Linked DNA regions of Struthio camelus. The protein of the gene in region 3 interacts with the protein of the main gene of each other region in a pairwise test. Links are inferred from orthologs where the notes say so. Each region holds a gene or a part of one and is shown on either strand. Other genes may lie near its edges.

The links.
Region 1: the proteins of SYT6 (region 3) and ZBTB43 interact in binary tests that used the Homo sapiens proteins (3 or more experiments, as listed by UniProt). The two-hybrid records come from large-scale screens. The link is inferred for Struthio camelus from reciprocal best matches to the Homo sapiens genes SYT6 and ZBTB43.
Region 2: the proteins of SYT6 (region 3) and KCTD9 interact in binary tests that used the Homo sapiens proteins (3 or more experiments, as listed by UniProt). The two-hybrid records come from large-scale screens. The link is inferred for Struthio camelus from reciprocal best matches to the Homo sapiens genes SYT6 and KCTD9.

Annotation. Positions count from the first base shown.
Region 1 is NC_090961.1:393,106-404,061, forward strand, and holds the start of ZBTB43 (zinc finger and BTB domain-containing protein 43), read right to left. Parts: upstream 5,145-10,956; 5' UTR 5,036-5,144; intron 1,779-5,035; 5' UTR 1,756-1,778; coding exon 361-1,755; 3' UTR 1-360. UniProt on the Homo sapiens protein: May be involved in transcriptional regulation.
Region 2 is NC_090968.1:4,627,368-4,637,672, reverse strand, and holds the start of KCTD9 (BTB/POZ domain-containing protein KCTD9), read right to left. Parts: upstream 4,845-10,305; 5' UTR 4,806-4,844; coding exon 4,671-4,805; intron 3,498-4,670; coding exon 3,376-3,497; intron 2,672-3,375; coding exon 2,628-2,671; intron 2,451-2,627; coding exon 2,354-2,450; intron 1,828-2,353; coding exon 1,769-1,827; intron 968-1,768; coding exon 839-967; intron 221-838; coding exon 153-220; intron 48-152; coding exon 1-47. Other genes in the region: CDCA2 (cell division cycle-associated protein 2), read left to right, coding at 6,329-6,854, 7,518-7,648, 8,283-8,433, 9,259-9,449. UniProt on the Homo sapiens protein: Substrate-specific adapter of a BCR (BTB-CUL3-RBX1) E3 ubiquitin-protein ligase complex, which mediates the ubiquitination of target proteins, leading to their degradation by the proteasome.
Region 3 is NC_090965.1:9,982,683-9,993,585, forward strand, and holds the start of SYT6 (synaptotagmin-6), read right to left. Parts: upstream 4,400-10,903; 5' UTR 4,026-4,399; coding exon 3,872-4,025; intron 1-3,871.

The DNA.
Region 1 (10,956 bases), on a different chromosome or scaffold from region 3:
TTATGCAAATATTTGCAGAGTTTGGGTCAATTTAGAATTGGGTTTTACTGTGAATTTACAAGACTTAGAAAAACAATGGGGTTTCTGAATACTGCTGCAATGGCAGTCAGCAATATCACAAAGACCTTACAGACCTCATTTGGCAAGTTAATCTTTCAGATTAACCATTTGCACTTCACACATTAACACACCTGCAGTAACACTGTGGAAAATAAAAAAAGTTTGGTCTGCTCATACCAGCATAATCATTAGAACGTGTTTTTTATGAGAATTTAAATTTCACAATAGCAAGTACCAGACACTATTTGCATAATTAGTTTATTTTGCTTACTCCACTAAACAAATGTAAGCTCTAATGTTTTAGTTCATCTCAGTAGTACTCTGCTCAGCTTTAGAAGCTTGATACGATTTGGTACAAGAGGTTACATGCCGGTGAAAACTGTCCCGCCACATAAATCTTTTTCCACAGATGTTACACTCGTATGGTTTTATGCCTGTATGAATTTTCATATGGCCAACAAGATGGTGTTTCATTTTGAATTTCTTACCGCAGACACCACAGCCGTAAGGTCGAAGACCAAGGTGCATACTCATATGCCGATCTCGCTGACTCTTGTGTGTAAAGCTTTTACCACACTGACAAGGATATAGCTTATCAGCATGTGAGAATCCAGTGAGGGATGTTTCTTCTTTAATTCCTGTAGCCATTTCAATACCTTCACCATAACCTGTTGCTATCATAAGATCCTGTCTGTGAGCACTTAAATTTCCATCTGCCCTTTCACCAGAAAACTCCTCCATAGAAGAGCCATAGAAGTCAACTTGCTCATCATAATTACTTTCATCTGCCTGTTCATCAAATTCTGCTTCCATCTTTTTGTCACCTATATGAAAGTCTTCAACACCTGAAGACTGGATTGAATGATCTGCCTGAATGGCATTCATGGATTCAGAAACTTGGTGTTCATCATAAGGATTATCAACACCTTCACAGTCCTGTTCAAATCTTTCTGGTTTCACATGGATCCACCGCTTGTGAGACATGATGCTGGGTTTGCTATATATAGGTCTTGTATATTGATACTCTGCACTATCACTAGTCCCTTCTTCACCATCCTGACTTGTCATTCCTGTGCTGAGTCTATCATGTTCTGTTGAAGAATTACTGGGAAGGTACTCGTGTTCTGTTAGTTGACATGACAGTTCATCTTTAGAGCTTTCTTCTTCATTTTCGCCATCCCTCAGCTCCTGCACTTTGTGGAATTCTGTCTGTCCTCCAGAGCCAAGTTCAAAGGTTTCAACAAGGCCGTTGTAACTACTACTACTCGGGGACTGATGATCACTGCCATGGTTCATCTTCTGACAGAGAACTGTTGGGTTCCCCTCTAGCACTTCAGTGCATTTATCTACTACATGCCACATCTGAAGAAAGCTTGCTGCTGTCAAATAACTTACTATTTCTGGAGCAGGCATAACCAACCGACCTGTATAGGTAGACAGAAGAATGTTTTCAAATACTCTTGGATTCATCACATCAGGCAGGACTATCCGCCTGCTATTTTTCAGGAGCACCTGATCACAGAAGTAAGGTGAACTAGCTGCAAGAACAGCTTTATGGGCTCTGAAGAGATGGCCCTGAACTACAATGGACACATCACATAATTGTCCTTGCTGGCGCTGCTGGTTTAACTTCTGCAAAATGGTGCTAGAAAAATCTGGAAATTCCACTCGAAAAGAGCTTGATCCAGACTCCATTTCATTACAAATCTAGTGTTGTGCTGCAAGAGGAAAAGAAGAGAGAGAAGGATCAGAAATTCTGCTTAGTAAAGTTTGGTCTTTCCAGTTGCTTATATTCAAATTTTTTTCTTTAAGGAATAACATCTAATGGACTCGTACAGAAGTCGACTCAAAACTTTTGGGAACCTGTGTCACTGGCCTATTTTTATCTTCCCCCCTCCATTTCATCTTTTCCCTTTTTGAAAGTTATATCAAGGCCACAAATTCCCATGCCAACACATCTTGCTGCACTTCATCTATCCACAAGCACTCATCATCTACAGCAGAAGTTAGGAACAGATTTACCTAGTTGACAGAATGATTATTCAAGCATGAGTTTAGGATAACAAAAACAATTATTTGATGAAACTTTAGCAGTAGAGTTAACTGCAGGATGTCCTAGAGTTTGTAAAGGTGTATGAAAGATTCTGCATTTCAACTGCCAAACAAATAATCTCATTAATCCCCCAATAAAGACTGACTGTACTCTTATGAAATGTTCCACCTTAAACAAAGTTTTCAAAAGTCATCATATTGATTCATTCAACAACAAAGGCGGCATAGAGTCCTAGTGAGAATGAGGCTTATGACTCTTCCAGGGGTATTTCCCTGTCATTTTATTAGATGAAAGTTGAAAGAGCAACATCCTGTGCAGTTGCAACACTACAATCCAATCCTTTCTTTCTGAGCTTTTTCAGATGTTATTACAAGATTCCTTAATTTAACATTTTAAATTATGTAAACAGGAAAGCGATACCTGAGCTGTACAGAATTTTTTGCATATGTACCTTGTATATGTGTGACAATGCAACAAAATTAGAGGCTAGAAGCTCAGCTAATAGCTCAGATTTTAATGTTTGTATTCCCACATGATCCAGATGTCTTACCACAAAGTTGATGTCATCTTAAGTAATAAAACTGTTCAAAATTTCTGCCTTAAATTTGAAGTTTAAGATAAATTTACATGTTTTTAAACATGAGAAATAATGACCAGTCATGAAAGACCAAGATTAACTCCCTGAATAAGTTAAATTTGTGCAATTTTTCAACTACATCATGTTTAAATTGAATACAATAGAACTCTGAAAGCCATGAAATAACAAGCAGCTTTCCCCTGTCAAATTCTGTTTCTCATCAGTAGGGAAGTGTCAAAATTTTAATAGATAGGGCTGTGCACCTTAGAGACAATATTTAGGAAGCTAGCAGACAGCACACACAGAATTTTAAGCACTTTTTGAATATGGTGCAAAAATAGACACTGAATTACAAACAGTTGCAGGACTCCAACTGAAGTAGTTCTATGGAGAAATGAAATGTAGAAAACATGATTATGAATCCTCGCTACAGATAACGTGCAAAATAACCACAGTACTTTCTACACAGTTACATAACTGTCAATAGAAAAATGTGCTGACTGGTGCACTGTGTTAAGATGCCAGAATTTGGCACAAATGCATGGCTGCTAAGAAGACGACAGCAATGTTTGCATACAAAATATAGATGGCTCAGGAGCGATTATGCACTTTGAAATTTACTGTTTTACCAGTTAGTTTAACTTTTCATTTTCAACACTCCTCAGTCTTTCCTCAAAGCATCAAGCTAGAAACGATTATGCACATCCTTGAACAAACTGCTTGAGATGCATTCCCAAAAGTATCTGAAAAATCTCAACATGAAGGTGCAAAATTGAAATCAGCATATTTTCCCCCTTTTAAATTAAAAGGGAAAAGAGTCTAGGGACAGTAAGCAATTCACCAGAAGTAAAGTATGACAAACTGTCATACCTCAGGTGCAAATGTGGAATTTGTACTGAATATTACTATACTTATAATTTCGCTATTTTTTAGCTAGTCTGAGAACAATTTGTCTGATGGGGAACATAAGCTGTTCTGCAATCTGAATAAGTCTTGATTTAGTAAATCTAACAGAATATTAGAAATAGCAGCTTTTAAATGACTTTCTTGGAAAGGAAGCTCTCTGAAGCATTTGCAGTTAAACTGATCTTCTCAAAATCATGACCTATGTAATAGCAATAAAGAGTATTTGCACTTTGAAATTTACTGTTTTACCAGTTAGTTTAATTTTTCATTTTCAACACTCCTCAGTCTTTCCTCAAAGCATCAGTCCTTCTATATACCTGTAATACCAACCCACTTCAAGAAACCAGATCAGCTGCTTATATTTATCACTGAGTAACAGAATACTGTCAGCACTAGTGTTACATATTTTTTCCACTTTGCTTAAAACAAGTGGACAAAATTATTGAAGTACATTTCTTCAACATAATAAATCGTTATCTAATACAATGATCATTACAAAATATTTTTTTAAAAGCAGCATTTATATGCAGATGTGTAAATTCTTTATCTCCTTTCAGAATATTCCCAGACATAAGCATCTATTCTACAATGCTTGCCTACAACAAAGATACCCTTTTATGATACATTCAATTGAAATTTAAATAGGCATGCCTGCACACCTAACAATTGCTAGCCTGAACTGCCATCCTTCAAAAAGGACACAGCTTAGTCCAAGAAGCAAATATAGCTTGGAAAACATATTTATTCACCATTGAAACAATTCCATTAGGGAGCAGAGCTGATATTATATATACCGAACTAACATGAAAAGCAAAGCCATCTAAACACACATAAGATATTTTTAACTATACATTTCAAGAATATTTGGGTTTTTCCTTCTGCAGAGGTTTTACTTCCTCCTTTTACAACCTGTTCTGTTTCTGCTTTTTCTCTACCCACGTCATAGAGAGCAAAGTTTTTCTATTTTAACCCACAACAAGTTTTTAGTCTCCAGGCTGGAACGCTCAGATGAAACACGCAAAGCAAACGTTACTGGCTTAAAAACAAAGTCACTTTCAAAAGCGCAGCACGCGGTTCCTCGAGGCCGTCGTACATAAAGCCTCCTGAAAGACGCGATTGTTTTACCCCAGCCGCGGCAGCCGCCCGCGGCTCATCCGCACCAGCGGCGGCGGGACCGGCCTCCGCCGGCTCCGCAGGCCCCGCGGCCGCCGACGGCCCCGCCCCGCCCGGCCCGGCCCCCGCCGCCGCCGCCGCCGCCGCCGCCGCCGTCCCCGCGCCGCGCGGTTCCCGGGCCCGGCGACGGCGGCGGGGCGGGGCCGCGCCGGGGCCGCGCTCGGGGCTCGCCGGGGGGCGGGGGCGGCCAGGCCTCGCGCGCCGCCCCAGAGCGGGCCCGCGGAGCCGGGGCGGCGGCAGCGCGGCCCCCGGCGGCGACCTCTCACCTGGGGGCCTCAGCGTCCCTCGCATAGCGGGTGCGGCCCGGCTCCAGGCGCGGCGCCACCGCCGCAGCTTCCCCGCCGCCGCCGCCGCCGCCACCACCACCGCCGCCGCTGCCCGGCCCACACCGGAAACCGCCTCCCTGCCAGCGCTTCCGCATCCGGGTCCCGCGGCGGGCGGCCCCGCCCCTTCCTGCCCGAGCCCGAGCCCAGGGGCAGCCGGGAAGAGGCGGCGGGGGGCAGCGGAGCCCGGCGGCGGCGGCGGCCGCGGTGGGAGGGGCTCGGGGAGCAGCGGAGCCCGGCGGCGGCGGCGGCGGCGGCGGCGGGGGGCAGCGGAGCCCGGCGGCGGCGGCGGGGGGCTGGGGGCTCGGGGCTCAGGGGGCAGCGGAGCCCGGCGGCGGTTGCGGCGGCGGGGGGGCTCGGGGGGCAGCGGAGCCCGGCGGCGGTTGCGGCGGCGGCGGGGGGCTGGGGGCTCGGGGGGCAGCGGAGCCCGGCGGCGGCGGCGGCGGCGGGAGGGGCTCGGGGGGCAGCGGAGCCCGGCGGCGGGAGGGGCTCGGGGGGCGGCGGAGCCCGGCGGCGGCGGGGGGGCTGGGGGCTCGGGGGGCAGCGGAGCCCGGCGGCGGCGGCGGCGGCGGGAGGGGCTCGGGGGGCAGCGGAGCCCGGCGGCGGTTGCGGCGGCGGCGGGGGGCTGGGGGCTCGGGGGGCGGCGGAGCCCGGCGGCGGCGGGGGGGCTGGGGGCTGGGGGCTGGGGGCTCGGGGGGCAGCGGAGCCCGGCGGCGGCGGCGGTGCCTCGGAGGCCGCGGGGAGGGCGCCGCCGAGGAGCGAGTGGCCGCGGGCAGCGCTGGAGCCTCGTCAGCGGCTGGAAAGGGCGGCTGCGGGGCGGGAGCGCGGGGCGGGAGCGCGGGGCGGGAGCGCTGGCCCGCGGCAGCAGCAGGGCCCGCAGCGCCGGTCGTTCGCTGCCTAAGGCGTTTCACGGAGCAGGTGCGGTCTAACGCCTTGAGAACGCACAGAGAGGCGATCGCACTGGAGCAGCACAGTGACGTTCCCCAGTCCAGCATCTTTTTCTTTATATTGGCAAGTTAATGGGTTTCAGGGGAAAGGGTAACAAATTTCTAGTAGGAAATTTTGTAAGAATTTGTACTCAAGAAAAGTTTGTTTTTGCCACAGTATTTGTGGTCTGAGCATGTGCTGAGGCATTATATCTATGGCCAAAAATCATGCCTTTATTTTAAGTTATTACAGCTTCTTCCTGCAATGCTTAAAGTACTTTATGTAATGTTCTTCTGCGGGAGCTACATCTATATGTAAGGAAGGCCTGAATCCCGTGAAGTCCTTTCCCTGCGTTCTAAATACCTGACACACACGTTCTTCCAATCAATTTCTCTGAATGAGTTTGGCACTCTCCTTTGTGTTTTCCTGATTGTGTAGAGCCAGGAATCATTCAGCGAGGACTCCGCGTGTAGAAATGCAGCACCAGATGAATATACAACAAGCACTGTTGTAATGAAATACATGTTAATAAATTATTCTATTTGTGTAAAAAGAGATTGATGTTTCTGTATATCCAGATGGGATCCCACTTACGCGTTGGCAGAGGGGAAATGACTTTTTGGAATAGCCCTCCATCCACTGATATGTGTGAAATACATAAAAATGGACAGATGGGATAAATCTTTGTATCCACTTTCAGGTTTTTCCCTTACTTTCATAAACTGTCTAGATTTTCGATATGAAATTTAGAGCAAGATTATGTTTAGGATTCTTTTAATGTTGAGAATAACTGAATTAGGAAACAGATGGTTTAGGAGTTGCTCCCAAAGCATAGCGATGTTGCTATACTGGCCATGAGAACAAAGTCTTAGAGCTGAATCAAGCTTCAAGCCTCTAACAAGGTAGGTAAAAGCTTTAAAAATGGTCTGAGAGAGTTGTGCCAGAAGCTGCTCTGTTTGTTCTGAATCCCTTGGATGAAACCAGCAGACATCCCTGATACCATCTCCCAAGGTTGAGTTTTGTCCAACTGGTAGATAAAGAGAAGGGGGTGGGGGGAAGCACCTGAGCTAGAAGGCAAATGCTATAGCAGAACATGCAAGAGTTAAGCCAAAATAAGAGTAATGACGTGTTTTGCATTTAGCTCTGCAGATGTCTGTGGGAGTGTTGTGTCAGCAGCACCATAAACGTGTGTAAGAGGTGTAAGGGAAGCACGTGTTGCATTGTTTGCCCAGTGACGGCACTCCTGGGTTCTCTGAGCAGGCTGTTAACACGCTTATCAGTGTCATTAGTTTAAAGGTGCAATTGCTTTTGCATCTTGGGAAAATTGGGGTTTAATCCAACATTGGGTGTGTCATTAAGTGGTATAGTGAAGGAAGTAGTAAGTCAAAGTGGTAGACCAGGCAAAGAGGTAACTTCTGTCATCAGTTTCAGTGACTTCATCTCAGAGTTTTAATAAGTAAGGGAAAGCGGATTCACAGAGCTTTATCCTAAGTAATAGGATGAGGAAAAAATACTTTCTGATACAGGATGGGAAGGAGCTATGGTTTAATACTGAGAATTAAACATTCCATTTCATTGTTGACAGGCAATTTTTTTGTTTTAACTGAAGTTTAAGCACAAATGTGCCGTCCTAGATCATTCTTCTCCGAACTTAAGCATGTAGTGAATAATGGATACATTCTCTTTGGAATCTTTGTACAAAGTTTGTGTTTAGTGATGGAAGCAATATAAAGGGCCATAATAACTCCCATCCTCCAATAATACTGCTGATTTTGTCTTGGTATTAAGGTGTATTATTATATAAATCTAGATAAGAATTGTTCAGTCTATGCTGTCAGAATTGAGAGCTGGGTTTAGTGATGGAAAGCCAGCATTTAATTCCTACCAGCTGTTTTAAACTAGATTTTAAAGAATGCCCATACAATGTACTGTGTTTAATTTCTCATATTACCTAAAGTATATCTACTGAATTTAGTCCTGGATGAAAACAGGCTTTAAATGAAACTAATCGGACGGATTACTTTCTGCAGTTCATTGGTAGCTGTATGTGATTCAGAAATTTAATTTAATGCAAAACTGAACAGAGGAAAACAAAGAAATAGCTGGAAACTCACCAACATCACATGTACTATACTTAAAGAGATGCATTTGCCACTCAGGGGTTGTGCTCATAATTGCTTTAACATTGATTTTCTTTTTACAGTTTGATTTGGGAGTTGATGTATTTTCCAATATAAAGTCAGTAAGAATAACTTTATAACCACAAAATTTCCCTGAAGATTCTCCTTTTTCTTTATTTATTCCACTGATGTTCTCCATTCCAAAGTTTATCAGTGCTGCTGTAGGCACTATCAGGAGGGGATAACCAGAGAGTGGTAGCTGGTTTTCCCCAAGGAGCTGATTTTATTGTCCTAGGACGGAACAGCCAGGGCCCTGCTGTTGTACTCATGCTAAAGACAGGTACCTGGATCAGCCAAACGACAAGAAATACTCTACAGTCAGACCGCTCAATTGGCCATGCAACAAGCACATACATGAACATTCCAAAAATAAGATGAGATTCCACAAGAACAATTTATAGGCTGAAAATAGATCAAAGACTTCCTTTGAAGCCTCCAAACAAGCCTGTGGCATTCAGGATAGTGTTTTTGTGCCAGCACGTTAAGGGAGGTTGTAACTGTACAGCTAGTAGGATTGTATCTTAACTTTAGAAAATTGACTTATTTCTATAAGGAATCAAGCTTCCAAACAAGTTCATACAGTTTTTAACAGTATCTTAGCTAAGAGACAACTGATTTCTAGGCATTTTGGGGAAGACAGACTACTGAAACTCTGTGGCTCTTGCTCTAAGAAAAGAAAAAAAGTTGTTCAAGTATAGCTACTGCTTTTGCTAGGTGGTATGGCATTTTTCGTACAGTTCATTTGTCAAGGATGCACCAAAACAGCTCTGTGTAGCTTCTCGGTAAAAACCTGATTTCAGTACCACTGATTTTTATTTTTGTTTCAAAAGCAGTTTTTACTCAGTTTGGTTTTTTTTTTTTTTGGGGGGGGGGGAACATGACTGGGTCTTCTTTACAAGTGAAAATGCAGTAAAATAATTTTAGTCTTGGGGACATCTTGGAAGACTTCTAGCATAAGCAGTGACTATATACATTTCCCAGTCTTGTCTGTTTAGATGCTCTAAGTCTATCTGGAAACACTGAAGATTTTAATTTTAGCTGCACCCATAGTACTTGGTTTCCTTATGAAAGTCTTCAAAGAAAAGAAATTGTGATTATATTTATCTATCCATGCATCAGTGCACTTAGTTTGTTGCCATCTCTGTTGCCAATTACCAAATATCTTTCAGATGGTAACGATTCAGTAGTTTAAAGAGAGAAAGGCTGGGAATTTAGACTATGACCTTTGTTACTTAAGGTAATTCTGCAGAATATTTTATTTCTGGAATGTCTCAATCTAACATAAATGTTTGATTGCTTGATATGTTTGATTTCTATTTGAATGATATCATATACTTACTTTTGTCCAAAGGTCTCAGGCGGGGCAGGCGAAGGCACTGCAAAAAGGGGGGAAAAGAAGATGGTGGCAAGAGGGAAGCACTTGTCAGCGCTCCGTAAAACGGCAGATGGTGCTGAAGGCTAGGGCAGTGCACGCCGGCTGGGGACGCTTCCAGCTCTGACTGGGTCCCAGGTGGATTTGGTACAAGTAGATGTTACAACTTCTGGTCACTTGGCAAATCTGTAGTCTATTGTTCAATCGTGATTATAACTCTTTAGAGCAAAAGAAATCTTGTGAAAGAAACTAATTTCATTTTATTTTACAGTTAATGTTTATGGAACTAATCATTGTATGGAGACAAAATATAGGCCAAATTTTATGAAGTCCATAAAATATTTAAACTGGCATACTAGAATATGAAATCTGAAAACATTAGACTTTTTAGGAAAGGCACTGTTTTTGTGAACAAAGATCTAATTATTATAATGTCTCCTTTCCTAAGTTCCATATAAAATATTAAATGAGATCCAGAATATGTTAAATGTTAACAAACTTTTGACCAATCTTTGTTTAGTATCAAGTCTTAAACATTTGCATTTTGAAATTGTTACATGAAGCCTAATTTAATTGCATTTGCATCATTTTAAAATTTTACTTCAACAGGTAATAGTGAAAAAACATTAACTTTTTTGGTACTTGCAAAATTTGGGATTAGTTTGCATTTGAAATAAAAACTTGCTTCTTATTTCATCCCATGATATTCATTAACCTTAAGTCTTTTCTTCTTTTCATTGCAATTTCCCCCTAATAAGCACAGAAGGAAAGATAGGTCCCGTAATGTGTCAAGACTTAAGTCACACATATAGCATCTACTACCAAAAAAAAAAAAAAAACCCACACAGTATTTTGGGAATTATGTTGTTCAGAACTAGGTCTTCTGTTCTATTCCAGGGTAGCATACCTTGCTTTCTTGTCCCGAGATCCAAAAACTTATAGGGGGAAGGCGCGTGTGTGGTGAATGTCAACTTTACCACGTAGGCAATGGAAAGGCAGATAATATTGTTAGAAAAATGTGACATTAACATGGCTTACTTTATTGTTTGTAGGGACTACACTTCAGCCTGTGAAAGGTTTTTCTTCCTAAAAATGTAATTGAGGCTTGAGTTTTTAGTTAGCAATAAACATAATTTAGTTATTAATACTGACAAAGTGGGTTAGGTTAAAGTAATACCTGGTTGACCATTATGTACAAAGTAACCATAATTAGGTAACGTAGTTACAAGGAAGTATCAAGTTGTATTTCTTCCATAAGCTAAATTTAGATGTATTTGTGTTCATGTTATTTTACATGATACATATCATTTATTGACTTCAAGTCCTGTGAATTCTTTTACTTGTCAAAGGCTTGGTATTTGTGCAATTTTTACTATGAAAACATT
Region 2 (10,305 bases), on a different chromosome or scaffold from region 3:
AACTCTTTTCGAGATATAGGAGAATGATCCTCAGCTGGCTGCGAATTCTGTTGAGAGAGTTGTTTAAGAACTAATATGGACAGGACTAAAAATATATATTGCCTGGAAAAACAGGACATGCATAGTCACATACCAAAAAAAAAATTAGTTACCTTAATAGCTATTTCTAGATGTTCAATTAATGAATCAATACCAAAAAATCTGGCTTCTTCCAAAACACCTAACAAAGGAAAGCAGCATTAATTATTTACAACAAGCAGCCATTAAACAAAATAACATTCTTCCCTTACTAGAGAAGACAGTGTATAGCCACACCATGAACATGCCAGAAACTTTAGGCTAATCCATCCTTACTGTTGCAGAAGGATGAACTCAACAGATTTTCACTTCTTCCTGTAACTCTTCATTTTAGCAACACTCAAAAAGACAAGCAGATCACTTTCTGAAGTCTAAGGAGTCTCTAAGAAATTCTTAAGCTAATAAAACTGTCAACCACATACATTATATTAGGTGTAATTGGGTAAAGTTAGTTTGCTTGCGGCTAAAAGGAAAAAATAACTCAGAAAGGATGTTTCCAACGCCAGCAGTAGGTTAAAGATAGCAAATCCAAAATTACAGCCACACCATTAATCCAACATGGAGAATTTTTAAAGCTCTCAGGATAAATAAGTTTAAACAGTATATCTTCATTTAGCCAAACATGTGGAATTGAACCCAGAATAAAATGCACCAAATCTTAAGGTGAACAAGTCCCACTGGTTTTATCATGTTTATCCGCAGGCAAAGTTCAACTTCTAAAGCGTAATAATTTAGAAGATGTCATACAAGTAGTACCTACCTAGCAAATTAATGCCATCATTTACAATGAGCTGTCCGTGACGCAAATAGTTCAGGATTGGCTCAAAATACTCTGGACTGCGGTCAATTAGGAATGCTCCTCTATTATCTTGCTTATTTCTCCAAGCATCTGTTTCCACAAGATATACGTAATTAAATTTGATGTATTAAGAGAGGAGCATTTGCTTCAGTCTCAGATTGTTACTACCATAGGGTCCTGGATTATGATGACAAACATTTCACTTTAAAGGGCATTTCGTTAGAGAAAAGGAAAGAAAATAAGAGCAAGGAAACAATCACCTTAAAAATCTCTCTTCTATGTAGAGACATAACCTAAAGACATTTTATCACAGGTACAAGAACCATTGCCAGAATAAAAGCAGTGTTTAGTCTGCCCCTGCTTCTAAAGGCTGTCTTGTACAGTGTTTGCCAGCTGCTTCTGTTGACATGTTCTTCCGTCGGAACACGAGGAAAAACTTCTTTACTGTGAGGGTGACAGAGTGCTGGAACAGGTTGCCCACAGAGGCTGTGGAGTCTCCTTCCTTGGAGATGCTCAAAAGCCATCTGGACACGATCCTAAGCAACATGCTTTAGGCAACTCTGCTTGAGCAGGGGGGTTGGACTAGATGATCTCCAGAGGTCCCTTCCAGCCTCAACCATTCTGTGATTCTGTGACTACTATTAACAAAGCTGAGCAAGGTGCAAGAAAAAAGAAGAAAATCCAATATGAAAATAAAACCCCCAAAGTATTTATTATGGGTAGAAATTATATTCTCAGTGTGTGAGATGTCTGATAAACATCACATAGGCATTGGAGAAATAAATTATATGTTCTGTTTTGATACTTTAACATGCAAACAGGAGTTTTACCTTGATAGTGCCTTTTGCTAATTCCTAGGTTAAAAGATAAACTTTATTTCAATATACTAACCTTTGTCCTTAAACATATGAGCCAACATACTGTCAGGTTCCTTATTAACCAAAGTGCTCCTAGAAAATAAAGGCAGCACAATTTTATTTTTCAAACGGAAAGTTTTGCTTAAGAGATGCACTTGCTGGTTAGAGTGCATTTCCTCCCCTCGGCAGCTTGCCGGCAATAATGGTACACGATACGCATTCTAACAGCTACAATACTAGACTGATTTAATTTCATATGATGTGATAAAGAAATACATTTCTGACCTAGTAAACTAAAGTATCGCAAAAGTACCTCAAACACAAAGCACTTAGTTAACTGAAATATTCCAGAGATAATTCCAAGCCTGTTCAGCCTTTTCACCAGTTTTATTTCACATGTAAACTGTTAAAGGATTACGTTGTTGCAAAACTGCAGTAGCAAATACCTAATCCTGAGAAAGCTGCAGAAGTCAAAGCCCCCCTGCCCCATACAAAGATGTTGCTAGTTCAAGAACATCTGAAGCCTCACCAAATGAACGTACACTAATGGCAACCTACTATAACTACTTTACTGAAATCAAGTCCTTTCAGAATACAACCAAACTAGTTGTACTTTTACCGCGTAGTTGTGAAGTACCGGCCTCCAACATTGAGTGTTAACCAATCTGTGTGTGATCCTGTTAGTTCTTCACGAGGTCTCACATCAGTCTGAGGATCTACACAAGTGAGAACAACGCAGTAATTATTAGAAGAATCGTGAATATTTTTGAATCTTCCATATGGTAACGGTCTCTTTTGAAAAATATCAGAAAATAAAGTTTTAGATTTACATCAAAACAAAAACCTCTTTTCATTAAGCAAAATGTTAAACGTTAAGAATTACACACACTTACTAATGAACGGTTCCCCTTCACAGACAAACAAAACATCATCATCCCTGGAAGGGGAGGGGCAGGGGGGAGAGAAAGAGCAGAGAAATTATTAACCATGCTTTTTTGTTCTTTTATATAAGTGACAGTGGGATCCCCTCCTGATTAGTCTCAGGTAAATAATAATCAGTTGCCATTAGTTAGTTCAGTATCTCATTTTTATTTTACTCTTGCAGGTTTCAGCAGAGCTTAATACTATCAGCTTCACTAGAGATGCTACCGATACATACCTGTACGAACCTGGTAGGGATCGCTTCCTTTACTCAGCCAGTTAAATTTTACAGAAGTTGCTTTTCCCCTCACTTTGGGAGTTTTTTTAAATGAAGATAATGCAATGCTACAGTTTGTCTGCCTATTCTAAAAACCTCATCCAAACGCTATCCCATCATTTTCAGAAAAATAAGAATGACATGCAAGACTAGAATAGTGGGATGCTCCTGGTATGTACATTGTGCTGTGGATCAGCACAGAGTGATGTTAAATGGCATAAAATGCAACTTGTATCAATTTCTGACTCATCAAGATATAAACGCTAAGAAGTTTAAGAGACTATTGTTTTCCTGGAGGCATAAAAGGACTTCTCGCATATTGGTTGGAAGTGATTAGATGATTTAAGGAAAGCACTGGTTACTGATTAAGGTCAGAGGATAAATACGATATACTGAGTGTCTTAAATCCTCATCCATGATAACTTCTATTGGACAAGCCTTACCTAATCAAGGCAATATCATCAATGAGTCCACCTTTTCCATTGTAAACACTAGTTGCTTTTATTCCAAGTTTATTACTAGCCACAGACAGCAAGTCTGATAAAGTTCCATACACGGCCACAACCTGTGAAAGAAAAGAGAGGTTGCTGTGGATACCATGCATGCATAGTTTCTGCCATTTCAGAGTAGTAGGCTAGCCATGTCTTCTCCCTGGGGAGAGGAAGACATGTATGGACCTTTCCTTAAAAAAACAGGGTCAACTTCGATATAAGAAACATAGGTCCCTTAAAATGGGGTGACTTAATTACACATCTCTCAGCCAAGACTCCCTGTACAGAAGTGGTAGCATCAGGAAAAGAATGTCAGTACTATAGGGATGTTATGACTCAGCTGTTAATTTCTCTAAGGAAATCAGGGATTACATTTAGTAGAACTGTACAGTGGGCCCATTTCCCGTTCTGCTTGTGCAGCAGCTGAACCTTGAAACGTGAGCTACGCTCACTCTTGAGACTAGATAGGTTTTAACAAGTCAGAAAAGTTTAAGCAAGATTATTTATTGGCTAGCCAACAGAAAACATTCACATGCAGTGCCGGTTAGACATGGCAGAGACCTGGCAGTAGGACCTGCAGTAAACTGTACTGGTTTGATGGCATTTCTGCTGTGCAGAATTTAAGACTAACGGCCAATGCAGACTCAGATGGCCGTTTCGCAAAAAACAGCTTCATAAACAGCCCGCAGGACTTAATTTACGTGCTTCCTGTTGCTGCCAGAACATCAGGGCCTGAATTAATAATGCCAGCACGAAGGTGACTTTAACTGCACTGCAACGTTAGTAAACGGATCTTAGCTGTTTGTGCTTCTCTTCAGCGCTCACGTGCAGAAACGTCACTCGAGGCTAGACTACGGTGAATAAAACCCCACTGCCCCCGAGGGCCACGCAAGCTTTTCTGTGCGCTGCAGCGGCCCGAGGACTAGGCCCTAAACGGGGACAGAACCAGCGGCCGGGGAGCAGCGCCGGGGGCAGAAGGGAGGAGCGCGCCCCGCCGGCCCGGCGGCGGCCGCCCGCGCTAGAGGTTTCTCTCAGGGCTTCCTCGCGGCACCGGCGGGGAACCCGCCCGCGGGACGGCGGCGGCCCCCGGCCCGGGCGCTCCGCCGAGCGCTTGGGCGGAGCGGGGAGGGGAACGGGGTTCAATTCCGCCAGCAAGCTAGAGACGAGCCCCCGCGCGGCGGCCCCAGCGCCCAGCGCCCCGCGGTGCCGGCCGGGCCGGACCAACCCCACCGCCCGCCGCCCCTCACCTTCCCGTTCCGGGGGCTGCCGTTAACGAACAGCGTGACCCGCCTCATACTGCTGCTGCTGCCGCTCCGGCGGCGGCAGCGGCAGCGCCCCGCTCCTCCAGCCGCACCCAGAAGGCTGCGCCCGCTGACCGACATGGGCTGCAGCCAACCGGAGCCGCGCCCCGCCGCGGTGGAGGGGCGGTGGGTTGGGCGGCGATGCGCCAATAGGAGCGGCGGGGAGCGGGGCGGGAGTAGCGCTGCTCGTAGCCAATCAAGGGAGGAGCAAAGTGCTATATTTGCATGCGAGTGGAAGTAGAGCCTAAGTTCCTGATTGGCAGGGCGGCCACGTGGGCGGTGTTCGTTTAACGGTCCGTTATCGAAAAGACACTTCACCGCGTGAGGGAGTGTGATTGATGCCTCCGCGCAGGGAGACAAAGAGTTCCTCCTCCCTGTGGAGCCCTAGCGGCGTGAGGGGCGGGGAGGGGGGGGGAGGCACGGGGCCGGGCCCCTGTGAACCGCCTTTTCCTCGTGCGCTTCAGGCCCTGACGCCTACCGGCTGCTGGGCGCAAAGCGGGAGGGAAGAGGGGCGGAGGCGCGGAGGGATACGCAGTAGTGCGGCCCGGTTTGAACGTGGGAGGCGGGCGCGGGGCTGGCGGTTGTGGGGAAGCGCTGGGGCGGGCGTGAGGGCGGAGGTGAGGGGGTGAACCGGCGAGGGGTGAACCAGCGGTGGGGGAACCAGCGGTGGGGGGGGGGTGCTGCGGGGCAGAAAGGGATGGGGGAGCGCTGGTGAGGGCTTGGAGGGGCGTGGGGGACCCGGGGAGTGCGAGGGGGTACTGGGGGATGCGAGGGGCCGCGTGCTCGGGGAGGGGCCGCCCGGGGAAGGGGACGCGCGAGGGAAGCGGGGTGCCTGGGGAAGGGGGTGTATGGGCTGCGCTTTGGAGGGGCGCGTGGAAAAAGGCTGCGTCATTGGTAACGGCCGGCGTTGGACGCTTCTCGCTTGGGTAACCGAGTCTCGTTTCTCTGACCAGATAGGTGTTGGCTTCAACTTCTGGTGTTCACGTTAAAAAAAAAAAAAAAGAAAAAAGTGTGTACACGGTGTTTAACGGCTTCACTTTGGGTATGCAAAATACAGAAACAGACGTTTTTTGGAGCTGAAGTTTGAGTGATGTTCTTCAACTCTGTGTGCATAGCTTTTAAATCTAGAAAGCTGAATGCAAAATATGTTCGAATCTTAAACTTGCCAAAGGTAATCTCAAAGTGCTGATACCCATGGCAACAGTTTTTGCAACAAAGTAATCACAAAAGTGGTTGTGCTTAATATGTGTTATGTTAACGTAAGATTTAGGTTTGGTATAGGATAAAAGAATAGCCTTGTATTTCCTTACTTCTGTAACATTTCTTTTATAGGTTTACCCTAGCGTGAATTTCTCTGTTTAGCACCAGCCCTAGGTAGCCTTTCTGTGTAGCCTTCCTGAGATTCGCTTTTTTCCTTTCCATGCGTTCTGCTAACCCCCTAGCTCTAGAAAATGCCTTCAGAAAACTCGTAGGTTTGGTAGAAGTTTGCAAACGGTAGCTCTTACCAAATACCTGTTAAATCTCTTCTCCCTTTTGGTAGGGAGCTGTAATTACAGGAAGACAGAGACTGATTAAATATCTCAGTAGTCTTAGAATCACTAACAATGCACAGACAAAATAAAAATGCTACCTTGAAAGTGAAAGAAAATGAGAGTAGAAGTACTGAAGAGAAGGAAGAGGCCTGTTTCCCTGCTCTGTCAAAAGACCGGAAGATTTGCAAAGTGACTGAATCCAAAATCACAAAGGCATCTGAGAAGGAGAATTTAAATGATGGGAACCAAGCACCGTTGCGGAAATCCACATCAAAATGCACTAAAGACCTAGAGAAAGAATCATACCACAACTGCAAGGATGTTGTCAACTATACGCTCACTGAATGCTTTTTTGATACACCAAATAGAGAGACGTTTGGTGAACCTACCTTGCCCTTGAGCAATAAGGAAAATTTTTCAAAAAGTGGGCCTGTTTCTGTAGGGGATGAAAGCTACTTGACACCAAATAGAGATAAAGCAGAAGAAAAACATGATTGTGGAATATCACAGAGACTGAGGAGAAAGCCTGTTGATTTTGCAACTGTAACAATTGCTGAATTTGGGATTACTCCAGAATCTTTTACTAAACAATCTATAGGTAAGGCTGGGGTGACTAATGAAGTGTGTTTGCTTCTGGGAGGGAACCCTGGAGGTCATCTGATCCACCTTCTCAGAATGGGATCAGCTTCAAAATGAGGCCAGATTCAGGTTACTCAGGACGATGTCCAGTTGAGTTTCAGATATCTAAGGATTTGAGTCTGATGTAATGTTGCTTTAATTCTCAATTTAAACTTTTTTCTATTCAGCTTGGTGTCAGTGACTTTCTCAACAGAGTAGAAAGACAAAAATTGTGCAAGTATTATTGGCAGTTCCTCAATTAGCCATTGAAAAAGAGAAAGACAGAGCCCTTCACTAGAAATATAGTGTAACTATGAACTTGTTTTTTTGCAGTGTTCTTTTTTGTGCATAGGAGAAAAAAAAAAGGTCTGAGTTCCTATTTGTATAGAAAAGGAATGTTCCAGTTTCTTATTTTTATCTTAGTTGAACAGAGTTCTAGAACCTATTTTTAGGGACCTTGTTGAAAAATAGCATAGAAGGAATGTCTCCTGAGCTGAACAGCTCAATCTGGATTTTTCTATAAACAGTATAGATCCTTAAAAAAAAAAAAATCTTTAATTTTTATTTTTTCTCTGCTATTAAAGCTTTAAGTGTTTTAACATGTGACGTTTAATAGTATGTTTTCCTCCTATGTTGATTTCAGAGAACTCTCCGACACCGTTAAAGTTTAGACGAAGGTCAACAATCGGAGTACGGGGGTCCCCAGAAAATAACACCTTTATTCGATACCTTGCACAGCAGAGAAAGAACAGGCAGAAAGAATTTTTTACACAGGTGAGAATCTTTGTCAAATATCTAATGTGTCCGTTTATTCCTCTAGGAAATAACATGTAAATTTTCAAATTTAATATATGCTGATGGGAAGAAAAGGTAAGTCTTTAAGGAAAGCAATATAATAAATAACCATGGCCTTAATTTTGTTGAATTCTTTTGGGCGCCTTACTTTAAAATAGGGAATGCGATAGGTTTTGTTTGATTATAGTCTGGAGTCTTTTCTTCGTGTCCAACGTACTCATATATTTTAATTTTTTTAACGTAAACTTTATTTACCTGCATTTGTCATGCTTGATCTATACGTAATTAAAGCATTGATACTTCAAAGTGAAGTAAATACTAGCATAAATGACTTTTTAAATTAAACTCATTTTTAACTCTAACAGATGCTGTCAGAAAACAAATTGTGAATACGATCTAGAGGGAGACGTGAAAGGGCAATAAAACTTAACAGACTTCTTGTTCTAATTTTTTTCTTATATATTTTTACTATACAACTAAAGCAGCAGCCAGATTAAACACAAGAATTGCTTCTTCTCCCAGTTTGTGTTATGCTAAAGTATAAATACAAAGTAATAAAGAAATCCTCATCCTAGGAAAAAAAGACTCATGAGGTTTAATTTTGTTTTTGCAGGTTAATCCTTTTAACTATCAAAATGCTGGATCATTAAAGGACAAAATACTTGCTTTTCAAACATCCTTTAAATCAGTGCAAGAAGATGAAGGGAACACTGGCTTCTCTGGGTTCTCACAGGTGGCTGATGCTTCCCAGGAAGTAGGCTGTTGTAAGTTTTATTTAATTATTTCTGGTCAAAAGTTTATCCTAAACATTAGTTCTTTCTTTAGTGCAAAAAAAGTGAAACAACAAGCACTTACTCTAGAACAAAAATATCTTCCATTACACAGATTGATAGTGGGGGTTTTTTTTGTTTAGTTTGAAGGGTTTTTTTGTGGGTTTAAACTTGTCTTATTTCTTAGTGTGTCCTGCATAGTGATTTCTCAGAATAACCCCTGAAGAAAAGGTTTACTTTCTAGATTTATAACTTCCACTATACTTGTCACTAAGCATTAGTGTATTTGCATTTTCTCACTTCTTCCGTAAAAGCAGTAATGATTTTAAGAGCTAACACCAGTTGTTATAAGTTTTGCAACTGGTCTCTGTGTTGATCACAAGGTGGAGACTTTTGTATAATAACTGTTAAGTGCAGTAACTTCAGAAACCGTGTTTTACAGTGTTCAGTTAGATTCCTTATTTCTGGATGAAAATATTAAATATTGCAAAAGCAAGTCACAGTGGTACTGTGGTAACTACGGGCAGATGATACTGTAAAGTAAACTATAATGCTCTACCTTTTCTAGTATTGATGCTCTTAATAACGTTCATATGAAAAAGATGACTCTGTTTTGGAGATTTGGTAATTTATGTTATTTCCAAAATAAAACACAAAATTTCATGCTTATTTTCTAGTGAGGGAGGGAAAAAATCCAGCTTGTTGAATCTCACCATCCCTTTGATAAATAAATACAAAAATAGCATTTATGAAAAATCTGACGTTTGTATTTGTGTGTGGGCTTGGTGGGTTTTCTTGTTTCTTTTTTAACTGATGCAGCTCAGAACAAAGTACCTTTCGCAAAAGAGCGCAACGAGGATCAGTGGAGTGAAAAGTTAAAGTCTGTCTACAGTGGAGATGATTCCAAGCAAAATTTCACCAACAACGATGAGGCTGGTATCAAGGTTTGCAGTACCTGGTCTTTACACCAAGATGTGATTGTCACTGAACCTGCTGCTGCTGTTTCGAAGGTACTTATCCGAGTGTAGGTAGAGGACCTGGAGAAGATAAATGGCACTGCAAATTTTCCTTGTAAGAAGTAAATTCTTACTATGGAAAGTCGATGGAAGCAATCTGGTATGGACACTGCTTTGTCTGGACTGACAGAAAATATAGCCTAACCTAAGATATCTGTTGCTGGCTCTTGTGAGGCCATGCTCAGTTTTCTTTTATGCGCAAATATTAAATGTAGTTGCTATAAGCTGTTCACCTCGAGAAGATTATGTTCTATTCTGATAATCAAAGGGAAAATTTATTTTATTCTATTAACAAAATGTAAATATTTCTTAATTCTGGTTTTGAATTCATAGCTGCAACTGTGTGGAATCTCAAATCCACAGATTTGGCAAGTACAGCTTTTTCCAAAAGTCAGCTCCAACTTTGTTAACCATTGGGATGACCTTTGAATGCAATTTTTCATCTTCATCTTTTATGTTTGGCAATTATTTGATATCCCATGCAAAGACAAGAACAAAGTATTGCATACAGATAGAGAAATTCATTTGTGGGAAATATCTTGCCCATAAATATTTCTAGTGATCTTTTTATTAGCGTCATACATAAAAATAGCGAAGCTAGGGTCCGTCTTTGCCAGACACGTTCACGTTGCTCTGATGTTGCGGGACTCCTGAGTTGTAAAACGCCTGCAACAGTGTGAACAGTTGTATGGAGATTAGGAAGAAATTTCCTAAATTAGTGATTAAAATGAAAGAAAGAGCATGAAAAACCATTACATTTTTGACATCTGATTCTTTAAGCGTTTAGCCCTGCTATTTTGGGAAAACTAGTTCAATTAAAGCAGTAGATGATTGAGAAAATGTTGAAATC
Region 3 (10,903 bases):
AGTTTCACAGAATCAGCCTGCAAAACAACGGAGAAGATTAGAGTAAGGGTATGCCCTGATTTGAACCAGCTAAAAGCACATGCTGGGTCTCAGTGAAACACAGGGAAAATACCGAAAGCAAGAGAAAACGTTTCAACAGCAGAGGCAAACCGCTGAAGCAAAACGTTCGTTAAGGCAAAGAGGGCCCATGTTATGAAGAAAGGCAAAAAACGAAGGAAGTAACTTTGGAAACGTGGACTTACCAAGGAGGCGTCTGCTCCCCGGCGCTTGCCTGGCCACCGTCCTGGGCTGGCGCGCGCAGCTGACAGCAGCAGCGACCTGGCTGCCCGTTTCTATGGCGCTGCCGATGCCGGTCCCTGCCTGAGCAGGAGCTGCCGCAGCTGCACGGCCGCCAGCTCCCCGCGCTGCTTCAGCGACCGATCAGCCAGCAGCTATCGGCCAGATCCAAACTTGCGTCTCTGCAGAGAAGGACTTAACAAGCCCCCTAAACACACACGCTCCAAGGAGTGTTTTATTTACTGGGACCATCACAGAGCACAGATAGTGCTAGCGCTCAATACATAAGCACTGATGCGTGTTCGTAGACAGGCTATATAATGCATTTATCCGGGCCATATAATGCATTATGCCTCTAGTTTTGTGCATTTAATCTTAATTTGATAATAGTTGTGGAAGCCTCCCTTCCAACAGCAAGGTTTGAACCTGACACCTTCAGGACCAAAGCACAAACCTGTCTCACTTGAGCTAGAGAGCTGTCCCGCTGCAAGCTGGCGAGGGCCGTTTCACAGCAGCATTACTCGGTGCCAGGAGAGATCCTTGCCCCAAGGGCCTTGCTACGCCTCACATGCTTGGCCACTGGAAACACACGCTCCAGTGATTAATATTAGTTTTGCCTGGATAGCTCCAAACATGTTTACTGTTACGGAACCATATTCCCGTAAAATGCACTTTAACGGTGATTCAGAGAAGAGTGTTATTACAGACATTTTGTTAACTCAAGGTTCATCCATATTTCATAACTAGAGGCTGGAGATATTTCTTATCAGTGAATGGGTATGTCATCAATTTTCCCACTACTCAAACTATCAGGGAATAATTCTTCCATGAAAAATATTTCAGAAGCAATTTCGCTATGTAAACCAGTTTCCCTCCCTTCAGCATTCCTGCAGTAAAACCCATATTGCACAAAAAAACGCACCTCTATCTCTGCCTGCAGCAGAAACACTCATGAACATGTGGTTTTAGCTTTTTATTAGTCTTTGCGAAGCGCCAGGAGGGTGCTCAGTGCTGCACACGCTGTACTGCCGTTTGGGGAGGAATAGTTCACGCCGAGGGCAGAACACTGACTGCTAAAGCATCTGCAGGGCGAGAGCACCGGCGGGCAGCTGGCAAAGCGTGCCGGGAAACTGAAACCCTATCGAAGGCTCTTCTGGTTTTGCATCTTCCCCGGCTGTCCTTCGCCTTCCTCTCCTTCAGCCTGGTACCCCGTGCCAGGAAAGCCCGAGATCAGGGCCCGGGGAAGGGCTTGGGAGGTGCAGGCGCCGCGCCGAGGCCACCGGGACGGCTGCGCGCAGGGCCTCACCGCGGCGGTCGGGTGGAGACGCCAGCACCTCTGCACATCCTCAGTACGCACCTCTTACTCTATAGGTCAGAGGAGTTCGTTTTTTGGTTTTGTTTTTAAATGGATGCGCTCAGGCAAAAAAAAAAAAAAAAAGATTTAAATAAAGCAGCAGAGCATTGGCGCAAACGGAGCCCAGGGGTCCTGGCCGCGCTCCCAGCGCAGTGCAAATCCCTGTCTGCAACCCCTGCGCAGGGTGCTGCAAAGCCGGCAAGCGTCCCCGGCGCATACCGCCCTCTTGACACCCAGCGGGCCGGGCAAACGAGCCCCGCTGCGGCCGAGAGGGCAGACACAGCCCGGCAGAGCAGCCCCGCTCCCCGGCCCGGGGGCCGCGGGCGGTGAGGCCCCGGCTGCCTCACCGGCGAGCGAGGGGTTTGTCGCGGTGACGCCCGGACGGCGACAGGCCCCAGCTCACCCCGCAGCGGCACAGGGTCGGTTTTGCTCCGGCGACAGCCGGCAGCCACGTCCGCCCGCCGCCCTCTCCTCGCCACACAGCGCTGGCCGTTTTGTTCTAACGCACCCAGGCCGTCAACATCTGCGGTCCACCCCTAGAGGGACGAGCTACGGCGGAGCCCTCGGGGCCCTCTGCACCGGGCCAGCGCCGCGCTGTTCGGCGGGAGGAGGAAGCCCCGGCTCGGGGTGGCCGCCGGCCCGACAGCCGGCTTTGCCCCCCGGGCGGCTAGCAGCGCTCCGCGCCGCGGACGCGGTCTCTGGGGCCGGCCGCAGGCTCCGCGGCGCCCGCCGCCCGCGCAAGACGCCGTCCCTCCGCCGATTCGGCGGGGCGGCTGCCCCCGCCGCAGAAGCGCGCCGCCCTCCGCGGGCTCTGCTGCCGGTCGCTGCTGGCCGCCGGCCCGGCGCCGGGCACCCGGGCCCTGCCCTCGCCGCGGGACGCGCTGCAGGGCCCGCTCTGCCTCGGGGCCCGGCCTGCGCCCCTCGACGCCGCGCAGCAGGCCTCCCCGAGACGGTGCGCGGCGCCACGGCAGCGGGCAGGGCGCAGGCCGCGCGGACGGGAAAGGAGGCTGGTCACCAGCGCCGCCGCGTTAGCGACGGGCATTGCGTTTCCCTTGCCGGAGCAGTTCTGCGCCCAGCGCTGGGGCCAGGCAGCGTCCTCGGGGCCGCCCAGACGCAGGAGGCCTGCAGAGCAGAGACAGCGCCGCAGCGGCGGCGGGGGCCCGCCAGGCCGGTCCCCGGTGGCCGTCGAAGCGCGCGGCGCGAGCGCGGCCTGCAGGTGGGTAACGAGGTCCGTGACAGACCGTAACAGCCCGCGGTGACGCGGGCAGGCACCTCTCCGACCGGCCTGCGCGGGAGGAGCAGCCCCGGCTTTCCTGCCACGCAGTTACCAAACCATCGGTTTTGGTACCAAGGTAAGAACTTACGAAACACCACAGGAAATTATTCACAAGGCAGAAAACAGCTGTACGGGGTGCAACACGTCAGGACAGCACCAGTGGGAAGAGGCCTCCAGAAGAAGCAGGTGTAAAGCACAGCGACTTTAAGATAACGAGTAGCTTACAAGCAGAGCAGGAGGCGACACTGAGACATTAGGCTGGACAAACTGATCAGAGCGCGGTGGAAGCACCGCCGGGAGCAAAGACAACAGGAATCCAGCAAACCACGAAGCTGCCAGGGCGCCCTGGGGCCAGCTGCGTCCCCGAAAAGCAAAACCCCTGCAGGCAGGGCGGGAGGAACCGCAGCCCGGCGGCGCGAGGAGCCTCGGGCAGCAGCTGACGGGCTACCGCGCAGCTCAGAGCGTCGCGCAGGGCTGGGGCAGAGCAAGGCGAACGCCACAGGGGACATTAAGATCCCCCGTTGGTTAACACACACCCCCACGCAAGTCCTACCTCTTCTGCACTGGGGTAAAAACGATCCATTCCTGACATCTCAGCTTCTTAGGTGGGCTTTTTGTTGCTGTCTTATATGGGACAGGAGTCTGGTTTTAGTAAGGCAAAGAGCTTCCACAGAAACTTTGAGTTATCAGCCATCTCTTCACCAGCATCTCCCCTGCAGCTGTGCCCGTGGCTGCTAACCCCACCGGGCTCATGGCCCACCGCAACAGGTTGGGAAGTGTTTCCACCCCCGCACGCCGCTCGGCTGCGGAACCAGCGCAAACGCGCAGATCGACACAGATACATGCCGAGACCGTTTGGCCTCCGGCACCGGCGCCAGCAAGCACGTCCCTCCCCTCGCAAGAGCCCTCGTGCCCGTGCGGCCGCTCTGCGGCGGCGAGCATCGCCCGGGAGCGGGGTGCGCTACCTGGCTCCGAGATGCTCAGGCTCTGGTCTGAGGGCAGCAGGAGGAATTCCCGGCAGGAGTCCAGGTCCAGACTAGGCAGGCTTTTCTTGCGGCACAGCTCGGCGACGATGCGCACTGCCCTCTGACAGCGGCCGTCATCCTTGGTGCCGCTCATCTCCCACACCGCATCCTCTGCCACCCCTTCTCTGCTGCCCGGGAAAGTCTAACTAGAAGAGCGTTTGTCCGCTTCTAATCGCCGTAACAGAATTACGCCGGTGCCACCCTTGGCTTGGCAGCACCAGAAGGGGCAGCTGGTGCCAGGCAGGGCTCCAGCACCGCAGAGCCTCCACCAAGCCACAGGTCAGTCCCCAGAAACCACAGCTCACTGCAACCCTGCCAGTGCTGCGATCATCCTATTGCTCTGAGATCAAATATCTCTTCGCTGCCAAGGCGTGTACCAGACGGAGAACCTCCTACCAAATCCAGTTTGATACCCTCCATACTGCATTTTTAAAGCTGCAGCCCAGATAATTCTTCTTAACCCCTTCGTGGCTGCCTCCCTCCTTCTCGGTTCTCCAGGTGCAGAGATTTGAATCCCAGCCCCAGAGCATGTTTGCAAAAAAAATGATTGCTGAAATGCTCTGGCTAAGAGCAGCGCATTGCCAGCCCAGAATAGCTGGAGAGCTCTGGTGGGCACTGCACACTGCTTAACTGCCAAGGGCAACATCAGAAAAGCAGTAAGTCTTATTGATTTGTTTGCACCAGTGCTAGCACACCAGGCTGCACATGGCAACAGAGATTGAGACTGCCGCTGCATTTTGCGGTTAGAAGATTTTTAGTTTTCTGCAGCATCTTTTGATTCCTGCTGTAGTTTAGCAGACAGGTCACGCCAAATGACAGAGCTACACTTCTGAACAGAGAACACATTTGACAGGCATGAGAAAAGCAGCAGATCACGTAACAGGCAATTAAAGTTATATTCAGCAGGATGACTTGTTGCAGCTTCTGGAGGAGAGAAGCTTGTGCAGATATAACGAGCGTGCTCGAGAGCCAGGGATAAGCCACACAGGTCCCTCAGCCCCACATCTCCGAGTACGTTCGGCTTCGTGCCACCGCCTTCGTTGTGCCTGTTAATTGCTGGCCGGAGGGCTCTGGACCGGCGCCCCGTGCGAGTCCCCAGAGCCGCACAGGCTGCACTGAGGCACTGGCCCCCCGCAGCCCCCCAGCCCGGCCGCAACCCACCAGCGGCGCAGCGCTGAGTGCCGAGGCCAGGGACCCCAGATGCCCTGGCTGGTGCTTTATCCAGCACCACCGCTGTCCGGCGCCCGCAGCTTGCTTGCTAAGCACTTCTCCCTGCAAAAACTTCTGCTGCCATGACAACATGATTGAAATCTTTTGTTAAGCCAGCAATGTCCCACGACTGGTCATGCAGAGACACTCTTAATTAGAAGCCACCACCTCCCGGTCGGCCGGAGCACACAACTGTCCCAAACCAGGAGCATGCAACCTCTAGCAAAGAGTCCCGAAACAGCCCCAAGCAGCAGCGATGTTCAGGGATGCCACTGTGGAGTCACACAGATCACGTGGGCAGAGCAGCAGGGCTGGAGCTACGGCTCACAGAGCCCTTGTCCTGGCCGCACGACAGAGCTCGTGTACACTGGCACCTAGTGATAACCTCCTGGGCAGAGGGACCACCTGCGGTGCTGTCCGCTTCAGCGTTCATCTCAGCACGCCAAGGTTCAGCTGAACAGAGCTGTTTCACCCCCTGCACTGCTGCAACCACGAAAGTTGGATGCAGACTGGCCTCTGCACGGGCGCGCGTCGCGGATGAGGCTTAGCGACAGGCAGCGCTTGCGCCGCGGTGGCCACCCGCGCACCCGCGGCTGGGCAAGGGAGCAGCCCTGGCTCTGCTCCTCCCGCACGCCCGCCCCGGCCCCGCAGCCCCGGCAGGTCCGACCTCGCGAAGGTGAGCGTTCGGCTGGCCCCCGGCCCCGGACACCGCCGCTGCCGCCCTCCGCTGCACGGGCAGCTCCTGCCTGAGCCCCCAGGACTCGCACCCGGAGCGGAAAGGCTGGAATACCTCCACCATAGATTGCATCGGATTTACCTTAAAGAGATTTCAACAGGCAAAAGAGAAAAAACCCTCAGAGAAAGGTTAATGCCCAATTGAGAGCTTCTAACACAGAAATCAATAACTAAATCAAATTATTTGGAAAGAAGGAAGCTAATTTTATTCCAAAGGTAATACCAAGAACTTTTTACTTTTAAATTTAAAGTCACCCTGGGCAAATCATTCACCTTCACTCATGTTGCAGAGGAGCCCAAGCTCGCTGGGTCGCAAGAGGAGGCCCTGGCAGGAGCGTGCATGCACGCGAGAATTATTTCTTCAGAACATAAAAACAGACTTTTTGGCACCTTTTCACTTTGCCTCCATGTCCTGGGCGCTGCTGGCTGTTCGACACACCAGGCTGCCCGGAGCCGCGGCCGCTCCCGAACCCACTGGGGTGCCCAGACAAAGGCAACCGAGAGAAAACCCGGGGCACAGCCTGCGTCGGCTGTAGGGCTGCACACGCTGCCCGCAACCACGCTCAGAGCAGTGACGCTGGTCTCCGTCTCCGAGTGAGCAGGCCAAGAAAGGAGGATGGTTTCCCTGCAGGGAAGCACAACACCAGCACCAAGGAAACGTTACTTCTAACACCCGAGGGAGCAGGACGGTCTGCATTGCACTGCGGCCGGATTAATAGCAGCACACTCGATGCGTATCTAATCGCGGGCTATGCCTGTTTGGAGTCCAAACATGGCCAACTACATGTCCCAGGATTCGACATCTGACACATCTGGCCACATCTGTGGAAACTAAGTGTGCTACCAAGGTGGAAACAGGGATATCTTTGTCCAGCTGAGAACTTAATGGGAACATCCTATGTATTTAGCTTGGATTAATATCCCTTCGCAGCTTTTTTGTTTTTTTTTTTTTAAAGTAAAGTCTAGAGAGAGGAGCTGGATTTATTTATGCCAGTTCTAACTAATACTGTGATATTGTTTACTTTCCCAATTAATACAATAATTGGAAACAGCTTGAAAATAATTCAGTTTCTTGCCAGGAAAAAAAAGGCAGCAGAGGCGGCTCCCTCGGCAGCACTGGGAACACGGGGCAGCGCGCGCTGCTGCACGCCTCCGCGTGGCTTCGCTCTGTGGACAATTTAGGCTCCTTTGCACAAAAACGCAGCCCCCCCCCCCCCCCGGTGCCTCGCCAGCAGCAGCACTCACCGAAGGAAAGGCGCCCAGGACCCGTCCCTCGTGCAGCTGAGCCATAAAACTCGCTAAGGCTCCACTTAGGGCACAAAGCAATACAGAAGCCTAGAGGAAGCGCTGCTCCCCTCCTTGCTCTGCAGCGGGCCTTGGCTGGCACCCGCGGGTGGACGGGGCCATCGAGTGGCACCGCAGCGGCCCCAGGGCCTCCTGCCAGCAGGACGCGTCTCCGGAGCGGGACGAGGGTCTGGTCATTGGTGCTCAAGGGGGCGCTTGCAATACTCCTGCTAGCAAAAAGCAGCAAAAACCCACTGATCACTTCACTGCCTAATAAGCTCTTTCCAAAGGTCGCAGAAGACCGAAGGGTTACTCCCAGCTGACAGATACACTGGGAATCATTTCGGTTCCCATGGATCTTTGCAGAGAAACATAACCAGCTTTGTCCATCAGCCATGCGGCAGATGGGACTTTCCCAGCCGGTGGTTCCCGTTACATCTACTGCCCCACAGCTACGTATCCCCCCCGTCTCAGGCGCGTGCATCCGGGCACCCTTGTCTGGCTCATCGCACTGCGAGGACGGGAGAGAGAGGGCTCCTTGCAAAGATGGAGCACGATAAAGTCTCCAGGCCTAGCAGTAACGTTATTGAATTACTTTCTACAGCCTTTATTTGGCAGCAGCCAGCAGCAGATACGAAGGCCTGGCCCATTTGTGCTCTGCTCAGACATTAGGAGGATGCTTGCTCCGAGCGTATCTGGAGGAGGACGAGATTGATTGAAATCAGGCAGCAGATGAGGTTGGTCTGACGCGCGCGCAGCCACCCCGTGGGCCAAGGCAAGCCCGGCAAGAACCGCGTCGCTTGCTGCAGAGGGAGCGGGGAGCCGGCAGGGCCCGCGGCGCTCTCACGGACGCCCCCGGCACCAAGCCGGGAAAGAAGGCTCCTTCCGAAGACCGAAGCGGAGCAGCGAGGGCTGACGGCACGTCCAAGTAATCCTGTTCCCCAGAGGGAAGCAGAGCTGCACAACGCGCATAAAACCAGGGCCGCGGCAGTGGCAGGAGGCGCGGGCCGCGCGCAGGGCCCGTCCGCTCCGCGGGCCGCGGTCCGACCGGCTCCGGTACCGTCCAGCCAGCGGGCTCCAGCAGCGCCCGCAGCCGGCGCCGCAGCAGCCTCCGCGCTCAGGGCCACCTCCGTCCTGCGGCAGGACCCGCTCCCTGCCGGGGCAGGACGCCGGTGGCCAGCTGAGGCTGGTTTTAGGCGCCTGCCGGCGCTTGAGGAGGCAGCGGAGACGGCGGCGGCAGCGCTGCAGCTCAGCGGGAGAGCGGTCCGGACCCCAGGGAGCGCGGCAGCTGGTGGCACGCGCGGCCGTGCCGCTCCCGGCAAACCGCCCCGACGGCGCCCCGAGGGCCGCAGGCGCCCGCGCGCACCGGGCTGCGCTCGAGCACCATCTGGTGACACCTGCGGGACCTCAAAAGCCCGTGCTGAACACACGTAGCTCCCCGCGGCATGGCGCGTGACCTGCAGCCCGCGCTCGCTTTCCAGCGGCAGGAGCGTCCGGCCACGGAAGGTTTGTTACCCACGAGCGTCCCCCGCCCCGGCGCCGCGGGGCCCCGATCACACGCGCTCTGCCCACCCTAAGGAGCACGAACTACTGTTTTTACGACTCTCTGAGCCCGCGGAGGAGTTGTAATCTGCCAGGCAGCCCAGGACGGCTGCACGCCAGGTCTGTCCCGTTCCCAGATTCCAGCCTGTCCTGTGCAACAACCCCCTAATCACCCTTGGAGAACAGCAGATGGGGGGCAAAAAAATCAAGACACCTGCCCTCCAGTTCCCTGCAGCAACCTGGAGCCGTGGCCAGGCACAGGAACTTCCCTGGCAGCAGGACCAAGGCTGCTACAAGTGGTGGCCGGGGCCTGGCCGTCCTCACCGGGAACATCCGCTCGCTACAGCGGAAAGCTAGACGGGACAGCAACACTGGGATCAGTCTGCTGACACAGACCAAACGCTGGAGATGCCCTGTGACGCTCGTGGGACACAAGCGAGCAAGACCAGACAGTTTCTGCTAGCCGGTGCCCCAGAAACAACTGACTTATGTCTCTCCAAGTGGTTATTCATGGAAACCTGCAATCCAGAGCATCCACAGCAGCGACCCCGGCACCACGGCTTTGCCCACCACTCCGTGCTCAGGGACGCACAGGCAGCAGAGGAGGGTGGAGGAGCGCTGCCACCATGCTGGGACGCACCAGGAGCTGGCGGGGCTGGCTGCCACCCTTTCCCATAACATGGCGATTCCCAACATTTCTAAGGCAGAGCCACAACAGGGTCAATCCCAAGAGACCCACAGCCAGGAACTGCAGCCAACACTGCTTTTAGCAGTTTCACAGCTTGCAGGCAATCAGCCCTAATTACAGCCGGAGAAGCTGGGCACGAGTGCAGGCAGGTGGCAGCGCCAGCTGGGCCTGTTTGCTGCCCCGGCGAGGCCGGCGGCGACGGGAGCTGGAGCCTTCATGATGCGTGGCTGCAGCCAGCAGTCGCAGGAAAAGAAGAGAAAGTTCCTGGAAGAGCCATCCTAAAACCCCCAGCTTCCCAGATGGACGGGCTCAAGGCTGCGGAGCGGCGAGTGGCACCCTTTGTCCCAGCGCCTCTCAGAACTAGAAACAGCCCCCGCGGCCGCTCCCGCAGCCACCGAGGCCACCGGCAGTTAGAGGAGTTGTCCCAGAAGGGAACTGTGCTCGTCGCAGGGACACGGGAGGCGCTCGCACCTGCCGCTGGTGACAGGGTTTCTACCTGCTGGTGGAGTCGCGGGTGGAAAGAGGAGGTTAAGCCCCACCAGATTTTGGGCACTGGATTGCAACCCTGTCTCACGTGGTAAGCAGGGTAGTCTCACTTTTAGCTGGAACAAACGTGTATTTCAGTATAAAGTTAATACTACCTTTTCCTAAAAGGCAGCTTTTTCATCATGGTGTTTCTGCAATGCTAAAGCACAAGTATTTGAAATGAAGAGTAAAAGAAAACAGGGGAAATGATCAGTAAGAGAAAACACAGCTTCTCAAGGACTTACAGCCTGAAGCACACTCATTCCTGCTTCAGTTCCACAGCTGCAGCTGAACCTGGTCATGCCCTACGAGAAGATCTCAGCCGGGCCCCACCTTCAGTTCAGAGAGCGTGGCGCACCCAGGGGCAACACCAGCGCGGGAGAAAGGGATTTGATCAGTAAGGAGGAGAGGTGAAGGCGTAAACGCCAACTGTGATTCAAGGGCAAATGAACACGACCGCAGTTTTGCGCGTGTGCGGGCACGGGCCGTTTCTGAGCTGCGTAAAAGAACTGCCGACCAGGCAGGAGCAGCCTCCTCTTCCCTTCCGGCACTAAAGCCCTTCCCGTGTCCTCCCCTGATCGCAGCACCAGGCAAAGCTGCTCGATGGGGGTTTTTCGATCCCTGAGATGTGGACTGACCAACCAGTAGTTGCTGTTCATGTTCCCTGTATTTGGAGCCACATTTATACATTATGCATGGGTTTGGCCCCCAGAAACTCGTTTACTAAGCAAAGAAACACGCTGTCCCTAGCTATGCGTTCGCTACGGACTCATTTGCAAAGCAGGAAGCAGAGCCGAGCAGGGTAGACAAGAAGCATTTTTAACCAGGGGTGCCAATGTTAACAAGTCACCGGGGATCCACTCGACGCCTTTCTTGCCTTTCCGGGACTTGCTGTGCGAGGCGTGGGAAGTGGGGCCCAGAGCAGCCCCCGCTGCCAGGTCTGCCAAGCCTTCGGAAATCATCCGGGCCCGTTAAGGAAAACCTCAGTC